Schizosaccharomyces pombe: one gene and its partners. The protein of the gene in region 1 purifies or fractionates together with the protein of each later gene. This does not show direct contact. Each region holds a gene or a part of one and is shown in the gene's direction. Other genes may lie near its edges. The genes, in order: cut20, apc11, nuc2 and cut4.

The links.
Region 2: the proteins of cut20 (region 1) and apc11 purify together in Schizosaccharomyces pombe (affinity purification with mass spectrometry, with the first as the bait; 4 studies listed by BioGRID). This does not show direct contact.
Region 3: the proteins of cut20 (region 1) and nuc2 purify together in Schizosaccharomyces pombe (affinity purification with mass spectrometry; 6 studies listed by BioGRID, with this or other methods). This does not show direct contact.
Region 4: the proteins of cut20 (region 1) and cut4 purify together in Schizosaccharomyces pombe (affinity purification with mass spectrometry; 5 studies listed by BioGRID, with this or other methods). This does not show direct contact.

What each region holds. Positions count from the first base shown.
Region 1 is NC_003424.3:4,041,258-4,046,374, reverse strand, and holds cut20 (anaphase-promoting complex platform subcomplex scaffold WD repeat subunit Apc4/Cut20), read left to right. Parts: upstream 1-1,750; 5' UTR 1,751-1,955; coding exon 1,956-2,193; exon of another isoform or gene 2,194-2,241; coding exon 2,242-2,461; exon of another isoform or gene 2,462-2,503; coding exon 2,504-2,626; exon of another isoform or gene 2,627-2,646; intron 2,647-2,717; coding exon 2,718-2,775; intron 2,776-2,801; exon of another isoform or gene 2,802-2,820; coding exon 2,821-4,341; 3' UTR 4,342-4,566; downstream 4,567-5,117. Other genes in the region: MutL family mismatch-repair protein Pms1, read left to right, coding at 1-1,198, 1,240-1,475; prp12 (U2 snRNP-associated protein), read left to right, coding at 4,611-5,117.
Region 2 is NC_003424.3:1,641,311-1,644,921, forward strand, and holds apc11 (anaphase-promoting complex ubiquitin -protein ligase E3 subunit Apc11), read left to right. Parts: upstream 1-1,770; 5' UTR 1,771-1,797; coding exon 1,798-1,816; intron 1,817-1,859; coding exon 1,860-1,982; intron 1,983-2,199; coding exon 2,200-2,342; 3' UTR 2,343-2,622; downstream 2,623-3,611. Other genes in the region: img1 (mitochondrial 54S ribosomal protein bL19m), read left to right, coding at 445-993; gid7 (WD repeat-containing protein), read right to left, coding at 2,623-3,611. UniProt on the Schizosaccharomyces pombe protein: Component of the anaphase-promoting complex/cyclosome (APC/C), a cell cycle-regulated E3 ubiquitin-protein ligase complex that controls progression through mitosis and the G1 phase of the cell cycle.
Region 3 is NC_003424.3:4,496,327-4,501,132, forward strand, and holds nuc2 (anaphase-promoting complex TPR lobe subcomplex subunit Apc3), read left to right. Parts: upstream 1-1,769; 5' UTR 1,770-1,805; coding exon 1,806-2,109; intron 2,110-2,154; coding exon 2,155-2,325; intron 2,326-2,431; coding exon 2,432-3,954; 3' UTR 3,955-4,255; downstream 4,256-4,806. Other genes in the region: alpha-aminoadipate reductase phosphopantetheinyl transferase Lys7, read left to right, coding at 644-706, 750-1,463; 1-acylglycerol-3-phosphate O-acyltransferase Slc1, read left to right, coding at 4,308-4,633, 4,697-4,806. UniProt on the Schizosaccharomyces pombe protein: Component of the anaphase-promoting complex/cyclosome (APC/C), a cell cycle-regulated E3 ubiquitin-protein ligase complex that controls progression through mitosis and the G1 phase of the cell cycle.
Region 4 is NC_003423.3:389,251-396,537, forward strand, and holds cut4 (anaphase-promoting complex platform subcomplex scaffold subunit Apc1), read left to right. Parts: upstream 1-1,659; 5' UTR 1,660-1,738; coding exon 1,739-6,115; 3' UTR 6,116-6,787; downstream 6,788-7,287. UniProt on the Schizosaccharomyces pombe protein: Component of the anaphase-promoting complex/cyclosome (APC/C), a cell cycle-regulated E3 ubiquitin-protein ligase complex that controls progression through mitosis and the G1 phase of the cell cycle.

The sequences.
Region 1 (5,117 bases):
TCCATAATTGAATTTATTAAAAACTCCTTGCAAAACCTATGTGAAAGCTGCGGACATGCAATTTCTTGTTCCAGATCGCAATCCATTTTTTCATATTCCTCGCAAATTCCTGATTCCTCTGGAGACAGTACAGATCAGGAATTGCCTCAGTCAATTCCAGCAACAGAATCCGAAACAAGTGATGACTCAAGTTTTTCTTATAAACGCTCACCATGTAAAAGAAAGCTCGTAGAAGCTACTGCTCAACCAGCAATATCCACTAGTGTTGCAGAAGGAGCGTCATTAGCACAAGTATCCAAACCTTTGCCAGAGCGTTTGCAAAAGGATTCTATGAGACGAAGTAGCCCATTAAACGAAAAAGTTACGGCCTCTTCCGAAAGAATGAAGAAAAAGCTTGCCCTATTCGCTTCTAGTACTGATACTTCTATGCAGAAAACAATAGACTCTAGTTTCCCACTAAAGCAACCCATCAATAAACCTAGCTCGAATCCTAACAATTTGTTACTAAATGATCCAAGTCCAGCATCAACACCTGTTGCTAAAACAATTAATTTAAACGAGATTGAGTCGGTACACAACGCAGAATCAGTTTCCACACTCTCGAGCATTCCTCGTACTGAGCAAACCAGTGTTGCGAACAGAATTCCGTCAAAAACTGCAGCGCTACAAAAGCTCAAATTTTTTCAATCTAGGCCCTTGGATGGTTTAAACAAGTTTAGTAAAAAAATAAATATATCTTTGAGTGGAGTGCAAAAAGATATTGTTCGAAGCGATGCCTTACTGAAATTTTCGAACAAGATTGGCGTGGTGCATGATATTTCAGATGAAAATCAGGAAGATCATTTGAATCTAACTGTACATAAAGCCGATTTTTTAAGAATGAGGGTTGTTGGTCAATTCAATAGAGGATTCATAGTGGTTGTTCATGGAAACAATTTGTTTATAATTGATCAACATGCCAGCGATGAAAAGTTCAACTATGAACATCTCAAAAGTAATTTAGTTATCAACAGCCAAGACTTAGTCCTTCCAAAAAGACTGGATTTAGCTGCTACAGAGGAAACTGTTTTAATTGACCATATAGATTTAATTCGAAGAAAAGGATTCGGCGTTGCTATAGATTTAAATCAGCGAGTTGGTAATCGCTGCACTCTTCTTTCAGTTCCCACGAGTAAGAATGTCATTTTTGACACTAGTGGTAAGTTTATTAACGAAGATCTTGACCTTTAACTTCTGTAGATTTACTAGAGATCATCAGTGTGTTGTCTGAGCACCCACAGATAGACCCATTTAGTAGTAGGCTTGAGCGAATGCTTGCTTCAAAGGCTTGTAGAAGCAGTGTCATGATTGGTAGGGCTCTAACTATATCCGAAATGAATACAATAGTTAGGCATCTTGCTGAGTTGAGCAAGCCTTGGAATTGCCCTCATGGAAGGCCAACTATGAGGCATCTCCTTCGATTAAAAGATATATAATGCGTAAAAGAAAGACTTTTTTAACGATTCTAGAATTTCAGCTATTGAATTAATGAATAATATTGGTTTATTTACAATGTATTTAAAACATAGCAATCAGCAATTATTAAAAGTGAATCTCTTATTGCCAAACTCAATTGAAATTTTTATCATTAAAGAATTATTTTAAGCGAACTTGAACCATGAGGAAATGATTTTTCTTTAGATGTAAATAAACATCGTACTAACGAGGTATGCACAGTTGGATAATCGCTTTCTTAATGTTTTGTATCCCTACAACTTTCATCAACTTCAGTTTTGCAATATCAGTCTTACTTCCTAATAAACCATCTATGCTAGCAAATTTAAAAAGGTTGTATGATAATTGTTGAAACTATCCATTCACTAGATATTTTATATACCTGAACAGGCTTTTATTGACTTGCTGTACTACAATAAACAAACTTCTACGAATCACCAAAATCATCCAGTCTTATCCAAATGGTGTCAAAATCTTTCAAATACCCTAAAAAGCATAAATTTGAATGGATTAATGAAACTAATAGAGTTGAAAGGGTTGGAAGTGGCCTTAAACGAGTAATCTTATGCCCTTCTATGGAACTCATTGCGATATTAACGTGTTCAAATCATTTGATTTGCTGTAGAAGTAACAGTCAAAGAATTTGGGATGTCGATTTTCATGATCTCGAGGCTACTGAATTGTGTTGGAATCACGATGGTACGTGGCTCGACTGGAAAACTTTTTTTGTATCATTAACATAAATAGGGAATTTAATAGTTGTTGGATTTAAAAATGGAGAGCTTAAAATTATTGATTCCTCCACAGGACATCTGGTTGAGCAAAGGCCAGCTTCCAGAGATTTAGCGGTTCTAATGATAACATGGGCCATGCAAGAAACGATAGTAAATGAAAAACGCAATGATTTTTTATTTGATGCCACTGCATATATGCCTTTACTTGGTACACTTCCTAGTTCGGCAAAAGAGTAAGTAGTAACACAAAGCGACTTGTCTCTTACATTTTTTAGGGAACGTATATTTTCTTCAAAAGCAATCGCACAATTTTTTGAGCCGAGGAAACGAGAGGGTGAAAATAACAAAAAAGTTGAGCTCTTAAGTATTTTGGATGAACGTGGAATTAGATACATAAAGTGCGTATCAAAAACCCCTTATTTATTAGCATCTTTCTAAAAGAAGTTTTTTTATCGATCGATACAAATTAGAAGTACTAACTATTCATAGTATGTTTTCGTCTTACAAAATCGGAGAAAGCGATTCTTTGAAATCAGCCTTGAACTTGGTATTATACCCATGTTATTAAATGTCTTGCTCACACAAATTATAGGGGGTTCCCATTTCACACAGCATAACCAACGACTTAGCATATCATGTTCTTATTTGTAAAGGAGGAACGAATATTTCTTTGAAAACACTTTATATGCCATTACTTAAAAATGATTTGGGAAGTATTGTGGATATTGCAACAATGTCTACACGTATGCAACATTTGGTAAGATATCTTGAGGAGGTATTGAATGCTATGTATGAAGAATTTGACAATGTCTTCAAATCAGAAGCTAGCTTTATTAAAACCTTTGATGCTTTAGTGTCCAAGTACAGTGACACAACTTTCTTTTCTTTACAACTAGAGTTATATCAATTTATAATGAACGGTATACCCAGCGACTTACTCAAAGAATGGATCAACGAAAGAGTCGGTGATCGAGTACTAAAAAATTGGGAACGGGCGATGGTGAATTCGTACACGTCCTTAATCATTTTCTGTCAGGAATTCGTAATACCTGCTTGTGAAAGGTTAACTGTATTATTATCTTCTGCCAGAGGAAAGTCAATATGGGGCCATATGAAGGGAAACACATTACTAGATGCTAAATTGGTGGAAGATTGTCTAGCAACTTTGGGTTATTTACAGAATAATGTTTTTTCGTTTCTCAATTGCCTTTTTGAGGAAAAAAAGTATATGAAGCACTTTATTTCATGGTTGAATTACGCTATCGTCGAGTTTAATACTTCTGAACCATCTTCTATTCCACCGCAAGAGATTATTGAACATATTAATGAAACCGTAATTTATATTCGTCATTCTTTATTCCGCTCGAAACTAACAAGTTACTTTATGGGCACAAAACCCCTTCAGCTAAGAGATCCTGATTATTATTCTCTCAAGGATTTTGCAAATCAAGACGACAGTAATTCTGTTGATGATTTCGTATCATTCAAAACCTTGAAAGAATCTTTAAGAGACTCATTCAACGTCATTTTTAGCTACCCTTCTTTAACTTGTCAAAAGCAATGGTTAAAAACCGGAGACCTTGTTTTGTTTGAAGGGACTGATTGGAATGTATCATCTCTTATACCAAAATCCTGTAATGAAAAAAACCAATTATTTTCATTATTCTTTCGAAAGGATACTCCGAATATATTCTTAATAATTTCCCAACTTATGGAAAATACTATGTTGCCTGTATCTGGATGCCACTTTGGCTTGGATTATGCAGAATTACTAGGAAGCAGTCTGTTGGATTTCCAGCCCGCAACTGTTTTAGACATGAAGCTTTTAAACGGAAGTAGTATTTTAATACTTGGAAAACTAAAGGAGAAGTGCTTCTTATGTGAAATTTGCTTAGCAGACGTTCCCTTAACCTTTTTTGAGCACCAGCAAAAAAACAGTTACCTTGATGCTATCAGTCATCTTCCTTTCATTCCACTAAACAGTTGCCTATGGCTGCATGAATTTGAGAAGGATTTCCTTCCTTCAACACTCGAATATGCCCTTTCTGAGAATAGCGATTACGGAGTCCTTATTTCAAGGGAATCTTCGAGATATCGTTTATTCTCTTTTTAATGAGCTTATGTTTAATGGTCGTAATGTTTTTTTTTTCTTGTTTTTGAAGAGCAAGTTACATTTTTTGTAGCGGTCTTTTAAATTTTCTTTTCTTTTTTTTAATTCTTTAATATAATTTAAAAGCAGAAAATTTATACAATATTTTCAATTGCAATAACTTCATTTAGAAAAGTCAACATATAACGAAGTTTTTTACCTTCTGCTATAAGTTTCCTTGATACACTGACTTCTTCTCTCAGCGAGGATCGTGTTTCAGCTAAAGTATAGAGATGGACACCTTCCCTTCTCTGTTTCTATATTCCTTAACAATACAGAATAGTAATTATGTTCAAAGTTCGTGTGCCGCGTCCTTGTCTGGTAAAAAGGCACAGGAGATAGTAATTGCTACAGAATCAAGGTTGCTTATATATAAAGTTGATGCAACTGATGGGAGAATGAATTGTATTTTAAATCAAAATTGTTTTGGTATTATTCGAAATGTTGCTCCTTTGAGATTAACTGGTTTTAAACGCGATTATCTCGTAGTCACGTCGGATTCAGGACGAATAACCATTTTGGAATATAACGTTGAAAAAAATAAATTAGTGCCAATATACCAGGAAACTTTTGGAAAATCAGGAATTCGAAGAGTTGTTCCTGGTGAATACTTAGCCATAGATGCGAAGGGGAGGGCCGCTATGATTGCATCTGTGGAGAAAAATAAGCTGGTTTACGTACTAAATCGAGATTCAGAGGCTAACCTAACAATATCTTCACCACTTGAAGCTCATAAAGCT
Region 2 (3,611 bases), 2.4 Mb from region 1:
AATTGATTGCATATAAAATAATATCTTTTACGAAAATGGAACATTAAGGTGGAAAGAAAAAAGCAAATCTTGCTATTGAAGTTTTCTGAATACCAGCGAGTTATTGATAGTATTATAACTACAATGAGAAGCCATGTAACTGAATTGGAACACGTATATTCATTCGGGTTCAACAGGAATCTTTCTATTGCCTTGAACATTCAAGGTCAGAAACACAATCCTTGATGGATAAATCATATAAAAATATATAATCAACTGTATTAACTTACATAGTCTAATATAGCGTAATGGAAGGTTGACAATAAATAACATATAACGAAATACGTTGTGCAGAATTTGCTAATTCATTTTGAATACCATCGTACTTACTTAAAAAGATACTCTGTAGAATATAGTGTTTTGTCATTCTTACTAACGAACGGTATTTAATGACTTTTGGAAGACATGTTTAATGCCAAACACTTTTTCAATTTAGGATTGGGCTTTCAATGGCTACAAAAGAGAGGTATTGGATCGTTAAAACGGCCTTATAACTTTCCAAAGCCAGTACCAGGTCCAAAGCACAAAGATGTGTTATCATTATTCGAAAAAAAGTGCCGTTCAGTATTGGATGAGCAATCTGAGCGATTCAAAATGTTTCATCGCTCGCAGCCAAATCGAGTAAGACCAGGCGCGGTTTTACTGGTTGAAAGCTACTCAAAATACCCATCAAAAGATTCAGTCAACAGATTTGCTGGTTATCTACTGCGAATTCGGCATCGTGGACCAAAAAGTTCAATCCTGTTACGAAACGTGGTAATGGGTGTTGGAGTCGAATATTTGTTACCAATTTACTCTCCACAAATTAAACGTATTGTTGTCCTCAAAGAAAATGGTCTATCTAAAAGACCTAGAAGAGCATACTTAAGTTACTTGCGTCAACCTCGCTTTCGTCTTCCACCTGTTGAATCACTGGTGCGAAAATACATTGAACAAAATCAACATAAACCTTGACACAATCATTGCAACTTCTGCAAGTAAATTTCTTTTTTTTTGCGAATCTTTCATGATTTTATTCAAGAAGCGCTGTATGATTTATAGTTCGTTTACACTCTATGTTTCCCTATCTACTTGTCTTTTTCTACAGGCTATTGCATTTAGAACTGCATTATAAGAGGCGTTGGTTGGTTTTCTGGAACAGATTTAGAGATTTGGATGTATATTTCGGCTTTAGCCTGTTTGTCAAAACACGTATTATCGATTCCATGAAACGGCAATGAATCACCTCCTTTGAGCCTTTTACCCCCTTCTCATTCTTTGAATCGACAAGTCACATGTCATTGCCATTAATTTTCCCAGATGAATTTGTGAGGCACTATGAATCAAAACCTCTACTTTTTTCTTATAAATTTGAGCTGTATGTAGGCTTGCCTCTTCATAATTCTGCGCTTTGATTATTTTGAATAATATTTGAAATTATTCATGTAAAAAAGTATAAAACTTGAGCTCAACAATATGTTATAAGCTAAAGAAGCAAAGTATCATAAATATAAAAATTTTGTTAGCATGTCGAATGTAGCCGGCTTGTTACAGTCCAATGAAAATTAGTTTTAGTTAGAAATTTTAAACTTTCAGAAAACGAAAAGATGTATAGCTAAAGCCAAATATCAACTGTAAATCTACTAACTCTTCTCTTCTTACGACATTTTGTTTTTCGCCTGAATTGTTTTCTTAATACCGTGGTAGAACGTAAAACATTAGCTAGCAAAAAACACTAATGTTTATTTAATTAGATCTCAAATACAATATACAAAGACTATGAAGGTGAAAATACTGAGTAAGCGAATATTTTGGAAATAAAATTGTTTTCTAACCACTAGGATACCATGCAATTGCTAACTGGACGTGGGATACCCCAAAAGACGACGTTTGTGGTATATGTCGTGTTCCATTCGATGGATGCTGCCCTCAATGCACAAGTCCTGGAGACAATTGCCCCATAGGTAAGAATATGTTTGTATTTATTTCCTGAATATGCTCTGCGGAGGCTTACTTGTATACTTTGCATCCTAAGGGGGTATCAGCATGAAAATTTGTTGCGCAATTGGGTTGGTTGTGTTCAAATAATCTTTAATCTAATATTCATACTTTGTTTTTGTTAAAAAGAGTTTATCATGGGCATCAGCTTTCACAGAATTAATTAAAGGCTAACTACGCTAGTTTGGGGGAAATGCAAGCATATATTTCATGCTCACTGTATTCAAAACTGGTTAGCTACTAGCGGTTCTCAAGGTCAATGCCCGATGGACCGTCAAACTTTTGTGGTAGCAGATTCTACGAATGAAAAGTCTGAAACACAATAAATACGATTGACGTATCGAATAAGACTTCCAAAGAATCCAACTCAATAGTCACGATTATTATTATTACAAACGAGATAAAGTTGGAAGCATTTTTTCGTTAACGAATAATTATTACTGTAACAATATAGAAGCATGCAGTTTCAGGAAAACCCTACTACACCATATCAAGCAAAAACTATTCAAAAAAATCTATTTTCAACGGTTCATTATTCATAATGCTATTCAAAAAGTAGCAACGTTTGATGAACATTAGTCAATTGTTATCTCATAAAACTCATCATTATTGTCGACGTGGATTATCTTTATTCGACCAGATGCGTACTGTATTATCATCACCGGCGGACGCAAATTGATATGGGTCGACTGGATTATATGCAACATAATTCACGCATTTAACATGTCCTGATAATGTTGCCAGTAGCTTTCCACTTTCTCTATGCCAGATACGTATTTTGTCATCTTCACTTCCACTTAAAACAAAAGTATCATCTTTTCCTCCAAAGCAAGATCCGATTAAAAAATTCCCCAGCTTATGACCCATGTATTGACGAACAATTCGGTTTTCTTCAAGATCCCAAAGAAAAGTAGTGTGTGGTTCTAAGTTTGTCAACGCATATTTCGAGTCTTTTGATAAACAAATTGAAGTTACTTTCGACTGCAACGAAATTTTTTTTATACATTCTCTGGTTTCAACGGAATAAATAGCTATATGTTTATCTTCGGCGTTAATTAATTGTTCAAAACCTACAATGTACAATTTAGTTCCATCAGAAGTAAGAGCCATATCGTAAATATTGACATCTTCCCATTTGTAGAGTATTTCGCCATTTAATGACCAATGAGTTATATGACAATCTGGTGATCCCGTAATAAATGATAAACCATCAGGTAACCAACAACAACAACTAACAGAAAACCCATGCTTATAGTCACGTAACTTTTCCCCCGTAAATGCGTCCCATAAAATTACAGACTTGTCACATGAACAACTGAGAAGATAACGATCGTCTGGTGACCATCTGATGTATGCTACCGTATCAATATGGCCTATTAGACGAAAAACTCTTTTCAAATTGACAACGTCAAATATAATGGCAGTCTTATCTTTTGATGCTGAAGCCAAGTATCTTCCATTATGGGAATAGCTAATTTGCCATACTTCATCAGAGTGATCGTGAAAAACATGATATTCCTTTGTAGGTAATTCGCTTGGATCTGCCTTGTAGTCAGATAGAAAAGAGAAGTTTTTCAACACATTATGATAAACCT
Region 3 (4,806 bases), 460 kb from region 1:
TTATTCAAAGTAATAAAACTGAAGAGACCACCGAATATTAAAACCTTAAATTAGTTCGTTTGTTTTATATACAACAACCGAGTTCTTTTCTTCCTATTTCTACTGAAAGAAAGAACACCAATTATAGATTATTATTGGAACGGAACAAGACAAACAAATGTAACGTTCTGTATTCCGTTAAATATTAAAATACCCTCCAGATGAGTTGATAATAAATTTTCAACTGAAGTGGTTGGGTTAGTGGTGGTGGTCAAGAGAAGCAATAGAACGAAGCAGCAAACTCTTCAAATTGTGCCGCTTACGTTCTATCAGTAAATTTAACGAAATTAAATCTTCTGCGATAAACACGTTTTATGACTGTTAATAGATATTCGCAAATTAAAGAAAAGCTGTTCTCCAAGGTAGAACAAAAAATATATTTTTTCGGAAAGTACTGTCGACTTGCGTTAATGTCACGCTTCATAATTCATGTTACTATTTATTGGTAGAAATTATCTTGATTGCCTTCTAACGAAATTATACTCTTCTTCTGGTTGGTTTCGAGTTTATGAGTGATTCTTGTTTTTGTGTTTCCTGGAAATTCTGGCATTGTTTATTGTAGTTTCTCATTGAAGAGTATTTCATTCGATTTAAATAGCAATATATGAAACAAAAAGTATATAGGTTATTAATAGATACTCAAGAAGCATGGCCTTTTGAAAGAACTGTATGTTTTTAGTTTTATCTAAACAATTTTTCTAATACGTTAGAGGATACCCAGTTTTAAAAAACTGAGCGATTCTGAGCGACAACAAATTGAGAGGTACTATTTCGACATGGATGCTAAAATGGCATTGGCTTCTATACTTATTAAAAGGCACTTAGTCTCCACGGCTCTCGAATGTTCACCAAATGAAGTACAAATTTCTGTCACAAAAGCCGGGAGACCGTATTGCCAATCAGCACACTGTCCTCCTATTATATTTGACTTTAATGTATCCCACTATGGGGGAATCGTAATTGTAGTAGGAGCATGGCTTCCATCAGATCCTTCAGGAATGCGACCGATCAATATTGGAGTTGACATCGTCGAATGTAAACCGTTAGCTTTTGAAGCATCATGGATGGAAGATTTCATGAGTGTATTTACTCCTTGCGAATGGAAGTTGATTAAAAGTTCAATTTCTAGTATTGATGTTTTTTTTTTGCTCTGGACTTGCAAAGAAGCGATTTTGAAAGCACTCGGTATCGGATTAAGTGGAAACCCTTTGGATATTGTGGTAACATTTCATAAATTAAATGAGCTGTTAAATTCCGAGGAAGTGTCTTTAAGAAGAGCAGCAACTGCAGTGTATTCAGGATATTCTTGGGACTTGGAAATTCATAAACTAATACTTCACTCTAGTACTTTTTACGTCAGTGTCGCCTTTCCACAAGACTGCGTAATAATGGATCTAAATTGGGAGACATTGAACGACTTGTAATTTTTTTTTATTAACATGTATCATCGCATTGTTTTAGACCGTGATGCCTCCTTTGCCTGTCTCCCTTAATGCTTGGATCGAGTTGCATTAGTAGTGTTTTTTTATTCTCTGATAATTTACCCAAACTCTTTTTGGATTTATCAGAGTTTACACAACTCTATACACCATCCAGATGATTTACCTATTTTTGTTTATATGTTTTTTTTACTAAAATGCTACATTGCTTTATAAGATTTAACATATCTTAACGATGGAGCTCAAACAATAACAACCACCTGTTTGTACCCACATGTTTTTGTTGACATTAACTCCCATCGTTTCCAAAACTTTAATAGATTTGTCATGACAGATCGATTGAAATGTTTAATATGGTATTGCATTGATAATCAGAATTATGATAATTCAATTTTTTATTCAGAACGTTTACATGCAATTGAAGATTCAAACGAGAGTTTGTATCTTTTGGCATATTCGCATTTCCTAAACCTCGATTACAATATTGTATACGACTTATTAGATAGAGTAATTAGTCATGTTCCTTGCACATACTTATTTGCAAGGACCAGCCTTATTTTAGGCAGATATAAACAAGGAATAAGTGCTGTGGAGGCCTGTCGATCGAATTGGCGCTCCATTCAGCCAAACAGTATGTGGTGATTTATTTCGCGAAACCTCTAACTAAGTTATCTAGTAAATGACTCAATTAGCAGTCGTGGACATCCAGATGCCTCTTGCATGCTTGATGTTTTGGGTACTATGTATAAAAAGGCAGGGTTCCTCAAAAAAGCTACAGATTGTTTTGTAGAAGCTGTCTCCATTAACCCATATAATTTCTCTGCTTTCCAGAATTTAACTGCAATAGGTATGTGACAGATGTTTTGTTGTGAATTAGTAAATTCACTTTTGTCAAAAAAAAATACTTATTTTCGTTTATTTCTATAATTGTGCTAATATATTTTGCTGAATAGGCGTGCCACTCGATGCTAATAATGTATTTGTTATTCCACCCTACCTTACGGCAATGAAGGGTTTTGAAAAATCTCAAACGAATGCTACAGCTTCGGTACCAGAACCGTCTTTTTTGAAGAAAAGTAAAGAGTCTTCCTCATCTTCCAACAAGTTTTCGGTTTCTGAATCGATAGCAAATAGTTATTCAAACTCATCCATTTCAGCATTTACTAAGTGGTTTGATAGGGTTGACGCTTCTGAGCTTCCAGGAAGTGAGAAGGAACGACATCAAAGCTTGAAATTACAATCTCAATCTCAGACTAGCAAAAACCTTTTGGCTTTCAATGATGCTCAAAAAGCTGATTCTAACAATAGGGATACGTCTTTAAAATCCCACTTTGTGGAACCTAGAACCCAAGCATTAAGACCAGGAGCTCGTTTAACATATAAATTACGCGAAGCGAGAAGTTCTAAAAGAGGAGAGAGCACACCTCAAAGCTTCCGCGAAGAGGACAATAATTTGATGGAATTACTAAAGTTATTCGGTAAGGGTGTTTACCTGCTCGCCCAGTATAAGTTACGAGAGGCTTTAAATTGTTTCCAAAGCTTGCCCATCGAACAGCAAAATACACCTTTTGTTCTTGCAAAGCTTGGAATAACCTACTTTGAACTGGTTGATTACGAAAAATCTGAAGAAGTGTTTCAAAAATTAAGGGACTTGTCGCCTTCACGTGTCAAAGATATGGAAGTCTTTTCAACTGCACTTTGGCATTTGCAAAAGTCTGTTCCTTTATCTTACCTTGCCCATGAAACTTTGGAAACTAATCCTTATTCCCCAGAATCATGGTGCATTCTTGCTAATTGCTTCTCACTTCAACGTGAACACTCGCAGGCATTAAAATGTATTAATAGAGCTATTCAATTGGATCCAACTTTTGAATATGCTTATACGCTTCAAGGGCACGAGCATTCTGCAAACGAAGAATACGAAAAATCGAAAACATCTTTCCGCAAAGCAATTAGAGTAAATGTTCGACATTACAATGCATGGTATGGCCTGGGAATGGTTTATTTAAAAACAGGGCGAAATGATCAAGCAGACTTTCATTTTCAACGTGCTGCAGAGATCAATCCTAACAACTCTGTACTCATCACTTGTATTGGTATGATTTACGAACGCTGCAAAGATTACAAAAAAGCACTTGATTTTTATGATCGGGCATGTAAACTGGATGAAAAGTCTTCGCTTGCCAGGTTCAAGAAAGCCAAAGTGCTTATTTTATTACATGATCACGATAAAGCACTCGTTGAATTGGAACAATTAAAGGCAATTGCGCCAGATGAAGCAAATGTTCATTTTTTGCTCGGCAAAATTTTCAAGCAAATGCGGAAAAAAAATTTAGCCTTAAAGCACTTCACTATAGCATGGAACTTAGACGGCAAGGCTACGCATATTATTAAGGAATCGATTGAAAATCTGGATATTCCCGAAGAAAATTTGTTAACTGAAACAGGTGAAATTTATAGGAATCTGGAAACTTAAGAAATTATGTCTTGTATTTTAGGGATGCCAAAAAATTGTCGAATGAATAAGTTAATGAGTTAGAATGTTTACGTCTTCATTCTGGTTAGGTTTAAAAATGATGATTTTCGTTTAGAAGTTATATATTAAAATAAAGGTATAATAGATATCATTAATAACCAATGATAAAAAAAATTGTGTATAAAATCACCGTGGGTATAACTTAAGTTTAAAGTGTGCAATTAATGAAATGTCCTCAGGCCATTCATTTTTATTACGAATCACCAACGTTACTATCACCGCACCAACCATACTTTAAAACGAAAGGAAGGGTTGTTGAAAGTTTGCTCTTCTCTACTGTGTACATATTCGAAATGGGTTTTATTAAGAGCACGCTGCTTGCTACTGTGACAGTATTTGTTGGTTTGTGCGGAATCAACCGATTTTTTACTCTCCCGAAATGTATTAGATATCACTTTCGCTATTTCGCATGTCACACATTTTTAGCTATTAGTTCTGCTTATGGGGTTATAGCCTCAGTTGTTGCACGTTTATGTGGTTATCCCGTAATGGGACAATATTTAACTGCAAAGGCATATTATGGACTGGCTAGTACAATCCTTGACTTTCGGTTTAAAATCGAAAACGAGGAAATTTTGAGAAAACATAAGTCTGCTGTCTTAGTAGTTAATCATCAATCGTAAGCATACCTCAAAATATACTTCTTTATGATAAAAAATAACTGACTTACAATTTTAATTAGTGAATTGGATATTTTGGCTATAGGAAGGACTTTTGGCCCTAATTATTCTGTTATTGCTAAAAAGTCTCTAAGATATGTGCCCATTTTGGGATGGTTTATGATATTGTCTG
Region 4 (7,287 bases), on another chromosome or scaffold:
GTTCTATAACTTCTGGTGGATCAATCGCAATCATTTTTCATTTCAAAGAATTACTAATTGGGTCTATAGAAAAATCATTTCTTTTTATTTCAGACTATTTTGTTTGTCATTGAATTTCCTACATTAGCTGCTCTGGTTTATTGTATCATTAACTTTTAACATAAAGAACCTCAACAAGTCATGCTAATTTGACATTATAGAATGTAAGTATATTAAATTATGATAAACTATTTATTGCAAAAGCAGGATGGATAGTACATTATAGAGCATAGAAATTGTTGCAAAGAAATCCACAGTTTATTATCTAAGATATTTACTTTATGGAGATATTAATTTAGAAGGCTCATAGCCGTATTTTTTTGCATTATAAGCCATTTGTTTCACTGGCTTTATATAGTCAATATGCGACTCATAAATTCATTAGAGTTATTCTCTCGCGAAAAATCATTGAAATGTGGGGCCTGATCATTGTTGTAGATTTAAGCAACATATAACCGAAGCTAATGAGAACAAATTGAAGCAGAGTTTTTCTGAATACCAAATACATTTTTGATACTCCAGGGTTGCAGAGTTTTTGCCTTCAGAGCCCATTGCAAGTATGTTCGGTTTCTAAGGGTTTCCTCACTTCATACATAGTTAGATTTGTTCCTCAATTCTTAATTTTTCGCTGACTTCGTGACGCTTTCTACTATAATCATGTTACAAACTAATATATAAACAAACTAGTGACCTTTAGGATTAAACGAGAGGCAAGCACAAACCACTTGTTCCATTCAAGTTACTGCAATATTTTTATGGAAGATATTAGAAAATTAGCAGAATACTCACCAAGTTTGTCACAATGCAAGACGATGGCAAAAGATCCTTAAGCTCATTCCATATTAAAAATGTCGTAAGTTAGTAAAATTTAAAAATAGTCAAGTCCTTCATTTTGAAGTTTTTTGTTTATTACTCGACCAAAAACAAATTGCCTTGCAATCGTTACCTTTTATGCTTTAGCACCTATAATTATCCTGTAGACAGAAATTACCTTTTATATAGCAAACATTATTATACCCAAATAATATTTAACATTGAAATCTTCATAAATAAATGAATAAAGTATGGTAAAATATTATTTACATCCCCCTATACAGCTATATGGCTCAACCTTTATACAGTAATAAAATGTCTAAGTAGTCCTGCATGTTATGATAGAAACACCCAAAGCCTTCACTCTAAACTTCAAGGAATTTACTGCTTGCTTTTGTCGTACACACTCCTATAGTAAGGCATCTTATATTCCATATGGATCCTCGACACTGGGGATGTAAGTACTGACTTGTAGTTTGAAATGGCAAGTCGGTCGTCTATATCGACATGATTTTATAACTAAATTCCTGTAAAAAAGAGAAACAAAAATGATATTTTAATGCATAAAACAATTTCCCGTTAGAGTATTTTTAATTATCAGTATTCCAAAAAAAAGATTTCTAGTCTTCAAATAAACCAATGCGTGATAAATACTGGAATTGGGGAATATAAAGATCCAAGTTAAATTTAATTGATTTTGTAAAAGCACTAAGTTCTGTAGGTTGACTTTTTAATTGTCTAGCTAACGTAAGTTTGGTAAGAGATGCTGGTTTGTTTACACTAGATATACGCTGACACTCAGATTTCACCTACAACTTCATGCTAAAAAGGAAATGCGAAATTGTAAACGGAACTGAGTTATTGATTATCGTTACTAGATGCTGAAATGCTAGAATTAAAAACAAATGTTATTCAAGACCCTGAATTAAAGGATTCATTAGATTTGCAAGAGAATGATCGGGTTGAAATCATTGGAGATGCTGTGCATTATATTGTGAATGACCATTTAAATCGTGTATTTAATTATACCGTAGATCAACAAAAGATACATGCTGCCCTTATTACTACATTTGCATCTGGAAAAAAGGCAATTGTTGTGATTCTGGACGACATTGGATATGTATACTATGTGGGCGACAATAATAATGATTCTTATATTATAAACGTTCCTTTTTCAACAGAAAGCGCATGGAGTTCACCAAGTGGACTATATCTTCAGCGTCATCGTTCGAGCGATGAGAATCTGAATACTGACTTGCCTCATATTTTTTGTCTAAACGATCCTTTAGATGAACTTACGTTAATAAAATTTGACGGAAAAAAAATACTATCTCTGTTTGATTCAATCGTTTATGTCGTGGGAGAGATCGTCGTAACACATAATAAAAAAGAAAAAAAATTGAGTTTTTGGAGGAGTCGCTTTATTGATCCAGAGTCAGACCAGTCAATAAAAAGCTCACGTAACAGAAGAAGGGAAAGCTCTTTTTCTCGTGAAAAGAATCCTGACTTAACTCGCTCTGATTCTATCCATTATACCGCCAATACTCGTCTTTCTGAAAAATTCGAGGAACAAGGACTCGCTTATTCGACCATATTTTCTCACATAGAGTCTTTTCCTATCACCGGAAGTACTTCGTTTGATTCAATCCTTGGAAATGGTGTTTTGGTCATCACCACTTTAGTGAAAGAGCTTGAAAAAGGCTACATGATGTTGTTTCGCCTTGTTCGTGACAGATCTCCTTACTTCTTAGATTCGCTTCAACTACATGCAATAAATTTGAGTGCTATTAAATCTAAGCATTTGCAAAAAATTGTTGTTCTGTCTTCAAAGGGGAAGGTGAGTCTCGAGTCTCCAATGTCGCCATCTTTGCCTATTGAGGGTACCTTTCGTTCATTTCGTGTGCATGGTGCCACACTTTACTTAGAGGACACCGATGGAGTGCAGAGGTATATATCTCTAGATAACAGAGCATCCAATAGCTTGGTAAAATGGTGTTTAAGTGTTATTCGTTATGTTTTGCCCTTGCGTGAATATGAAATTTTTTATACTGGACATCTTTACGCGCTTTTTGCTTTTAAGCTTAGCCATGATGAGGCTTTCATATCTTCAATACTCGCCTGTTTCACTTTCTTTTCTCGAGATAAAGTTCATGTTGAACCAATTGAAGATTGCAATGAAGCTTACAGTCTGTCCTCTAAGTTTCATTTTAAAAAAGAAATACTTATTGCTTCTCAGCTCTCATCTCATCTTGATTACTCAACATTCAAAAATTACTTGATGCCCTTAGCTATTACCTTACATTTTATATCTGAAGAATTGCGGTTGGATTCGGTTGTAAAGCCTCGTAAAGATCAGCTTGTAGCTTTATTACTTCAAATCACCACGTGGTTGAAGTGGCCACGGTATTGCGAGTATTATAACTTTGATATCGCTGAAACATTTCTATCTATACCCTTATCGATTCAAGTTGATGTTGAGGAACCTGTTGGTCCAACATCGATTTTACAGTGGATTATTGAATGTTTAAGGTCGCAATCTACAGTACCTTTTTATGGCTTGGAAAGTTATGGGCTACCACATTCTTGCTCTACTATGTTTCCCCAAACCCTTTCTTTAATGCAGTTACTCGATTGCTTGCTAAATCCTAATATGACCCTTCAAAACTTAGTTGAAGAAATGGTACGGTTAGGAATTTCAAGAAAGAGGTGTGAAAGATACCCATTTGGAATTTTATGCATTATTTTTACAGTACTCGAGATTGCCGCTGAAGAGTATTCTCCGAATTGGGAAAGCGAAGAGCTTCGATTAGTCAATCGCCTTGACGTTGATTCATTCTTACATCCAAAGACACCTAAATGGGTTTTTAATAAGCAGGATCAAGAAGTCAAAGAAATAAAAGCACTCACTAGTACAGTTACCGATTCTACACTTGTTGACACGCAGTCGTTTCATCCTTATAAGGTTGTAACGGATATGATTTTTAGAGAGGATCGACGACTGGCAGAAGTGAATAAACTTTTAAATTATTCAAGTCAAATCACCATAATGACTGAACACTTTGATGTCGACTTGAGTTCAGTACCAATGCAACAAAAAGTTGCTCAATGCATTTGCGTTAGAACATTGTCCGTGCCAATTGGAGCGGGTATGCTTACGTATGGTAGTAAAAATCCTTTACCTACGGAAAAGGTCACTCCACGATTATTTAATTTTACATTGCACTTGCATCCTGGAACTTTAATTATACAACCTAATAAAGAGTTCGTAACACAGGAATTAACCGAGTGGCCAGAGTTTAATGTTGGCGTTGCATTAGGATTATCGATATCTAAGTTTTCAAAGGAAATAAACACTAGTTGGATTATGTTCAATCGACCTGAAACTTTGACTGCTTACCATGCGGGATTTCTTTTTGGTCTAGGGCTAAACGGTCATTTAAAGGCCCTTGCTACCTGGCATTCTTTTATTTATCTTACTAGCAAGCATGATACAACCAGTATAGGCCTTTTACTTGGACTTGCATCCTCGTATTTGGGGAGTATGGATGCAAAGGTTACAAAATTGCTAAGTGTGCACATTTCAGCATTACTGCCAGTTGGATCTAATGAATTGAATATTTCACCATTAACTCAGACTGCAGGAATTCTAGGAATTGGTTTATTATTTCATGATTCGTGTCATAGACGCATGTCTGAAGTGACCATGGAAGAGATTTTGGCTTCTAATGAAAGCGAACTAAAGAATGAAGGCTATAAGTTAGCTGCTGGATTTTCTCTTGGTTTAATTAATTTAGGGAGAGGATCTAATCTTCCAGGCATGTCTGATTTAAAACTCGTTTCAAGGCTACAAGTGGGAATATCTAGTCAGGCTACATTTCAGTCTTTAGAAGCCGGTTCTCCCGGGGCCATTATGGCTTTGACTATGATATATATGAAGACTAATGATTTGGAAGTTGCGAAAAAAATTGATATTCCTAAATCGCGATATCTTCTTGATTTCTATCGTCCAGATCTAATACTTTTGCGAGTTGCCGGTAAAAACTTAATTATGTGGGATGAAGTCAAAGCAGATTATGAATGGGTGAAATATCAAATTCCTGATATAATGCTCTCACAATTTGATTTACAGGAAAAAAAGGTTCTCTCTTCTGACGACTTGCTGCTTTATAATGTCTTAGCAGGGATTTGTTTTTCTTTAGGTTTAAGGTTTGCTGGAACGGGTAATCCGAAAGCCAAGGAAATTCTCATCAACTTTTTAGATAGCTTCATTCGGTTGTGTCATCTGCCTGCTAAAACACACGATGAAAGAGTAACTGCAGTGACTGTAATTCGCTGTACACAAATTGTCGCTTTGTCTTCTTCTTGTGTTATGGCGGGTTATTGTGATCTAGATGTTTTGAGAAGGTTAAGAGTACTACATGGGAGAATGGAGCCTGTGAACTACGGGGCTCAAATGGCTACTCATATGGCGCTCGGAATTCTTTCGCTAGGTGGAGGAAGGTATAGTTTGTCTCGCAGTAATTTAGCAATCGCGGCTTTGTTAATATCATTTTATCCGCAATTTCCCAGGACTACTCAAGATAATCGTGCACATTTGCAAGCTGCTCGAAATTTGTGGGCTTTAGCTGTGGAAGAACGTTGTATTATCCCGAGAAATCAAGATACCAAACAGCCATGCATAGTGCCATTAAATGTTGTTCAAAAAAGCGGCGCAGTTCAAAAACTAGAAGCGCCTATACTTTTGCCGCCGTACGATAGCATTAGTTCAGTGTCGACGTTGGGTGATAAGTATTGGAATTTAAAAATTGATTTGGACAATAACAGTGATTACCGTGAACTATTAAGGGAATCACAAACACTGACACTGATGCCTTATGACCGAACAAGTTCAAAAGAAGAGCCACTTAATCTATTCCCTAAGCTTAAAGATACCTCAAGCCCACTTTGGAACTTGGTAAAAACAAGCAGGTTGTTCCAAAGCTCGAATAGCCCCTTAAACGTTGCATCGTTACAAGAATCAAATAATAAAACTTCTCTAGGCGTTAAATTACTCCTGTCTATGGACTTTGATAATTTAACTAGAGACCGTTTATTAAGTTTGCAAATACTGTTACAATTTTTTGAGTCTTGTTGGACTGGTGTGCTCTTGAATAAGTTTCACTCCCGTCAATATCTTTTCCTTTCTCGTGATTTGGTAGAAGATTTGAGTTTGAGAGTATGGGAGTATGTGTATTCTCATAATCATAATGAAGAATCTGTATAATTATGAACTACGTTTATTAATTATATGATATGCTAATGGGCTGAATGGTTTCCAAAAATCTTTTCCATCATATCAATCCTTCAAAAGGAAAATTGAAGTTTAAAAAAATAGAACCCCTTAAAATTAACGACTTGTATAAATACCTTAATGTCTCAATTAATATACAAGGTGGCATATCCAATGCAACACTTTTTTCACGATCATGATTAATAGCTATCTTCAAATAATGGTTTGTTAAAAGGAAATCGAAGTTAATAATAAATTGTTAATTGGAATACTGATGCTCAAACTATTTCACTGGGCAAAGTAAAAAGAATATTATTGCGACAACTACTAAGCACCCATGGTTCTTCAAGGGGTAATACCGCCTGTCTCAAGGCGCCGTTGAAAATAGATTAGCTTTTTTATCCTTTTTCTATATCTTTTCCCTCCTTTCGTTAATTAATTGATTTAAGCATGACACTTCGAGCTACTAACTAACACTATATCGTTGTATGCTGTTTACATAAGTTCTTGATGTTCGAATCTATGACTTTCGAGTAACGGTTCCAAATATTATAATTTAATGAATTACACCCGATAATTAATACACTGTATTAAACCATCTAAATCCACCTGACGAATTCAATCTTAAAATTTAAATAGAAGTCTTTAAATCCGACATGCACTGAGATGCTGAAGTTTTGTAACGATCTACATTAAATTCCCCTATTATAATTTACGTACGATTATTCGCCTCATTAAAAATTCCTTCGTTTTTGAGGGGTAGTAAGGGCATGACTTCAACCTTGCATCCTATGACACAACACTTCTTTCGTTAGCAAAACACAAATTGAAGCTTGCGAACGCATAGGAAGTGTGAATAGCTCGTTTCTCGAAAGCCGCTAATTCTACAAAAGCTTTCTGTATCAAAAAGACTTGTAGTTTTACTTAATACACCTTTGGTTCTGCGCTAAGAGTGAAAGGCTCAGTATTGTTGTGAAAACCGTGAATCTGTAACGTCGGTTTATGTTAATTTGTATTTTTGAACGCTTGCTATAACTATTGTTATCTATTTTTGTCTGCTATAGATTATCTTTGAAGGACTCAGAGTCGATTTAGCTTATCTTCTTATTTTTTGTCTCAGGTGTATCGAATTATCGTTCGTGTTCATTTGTACTTTTGGAATAACA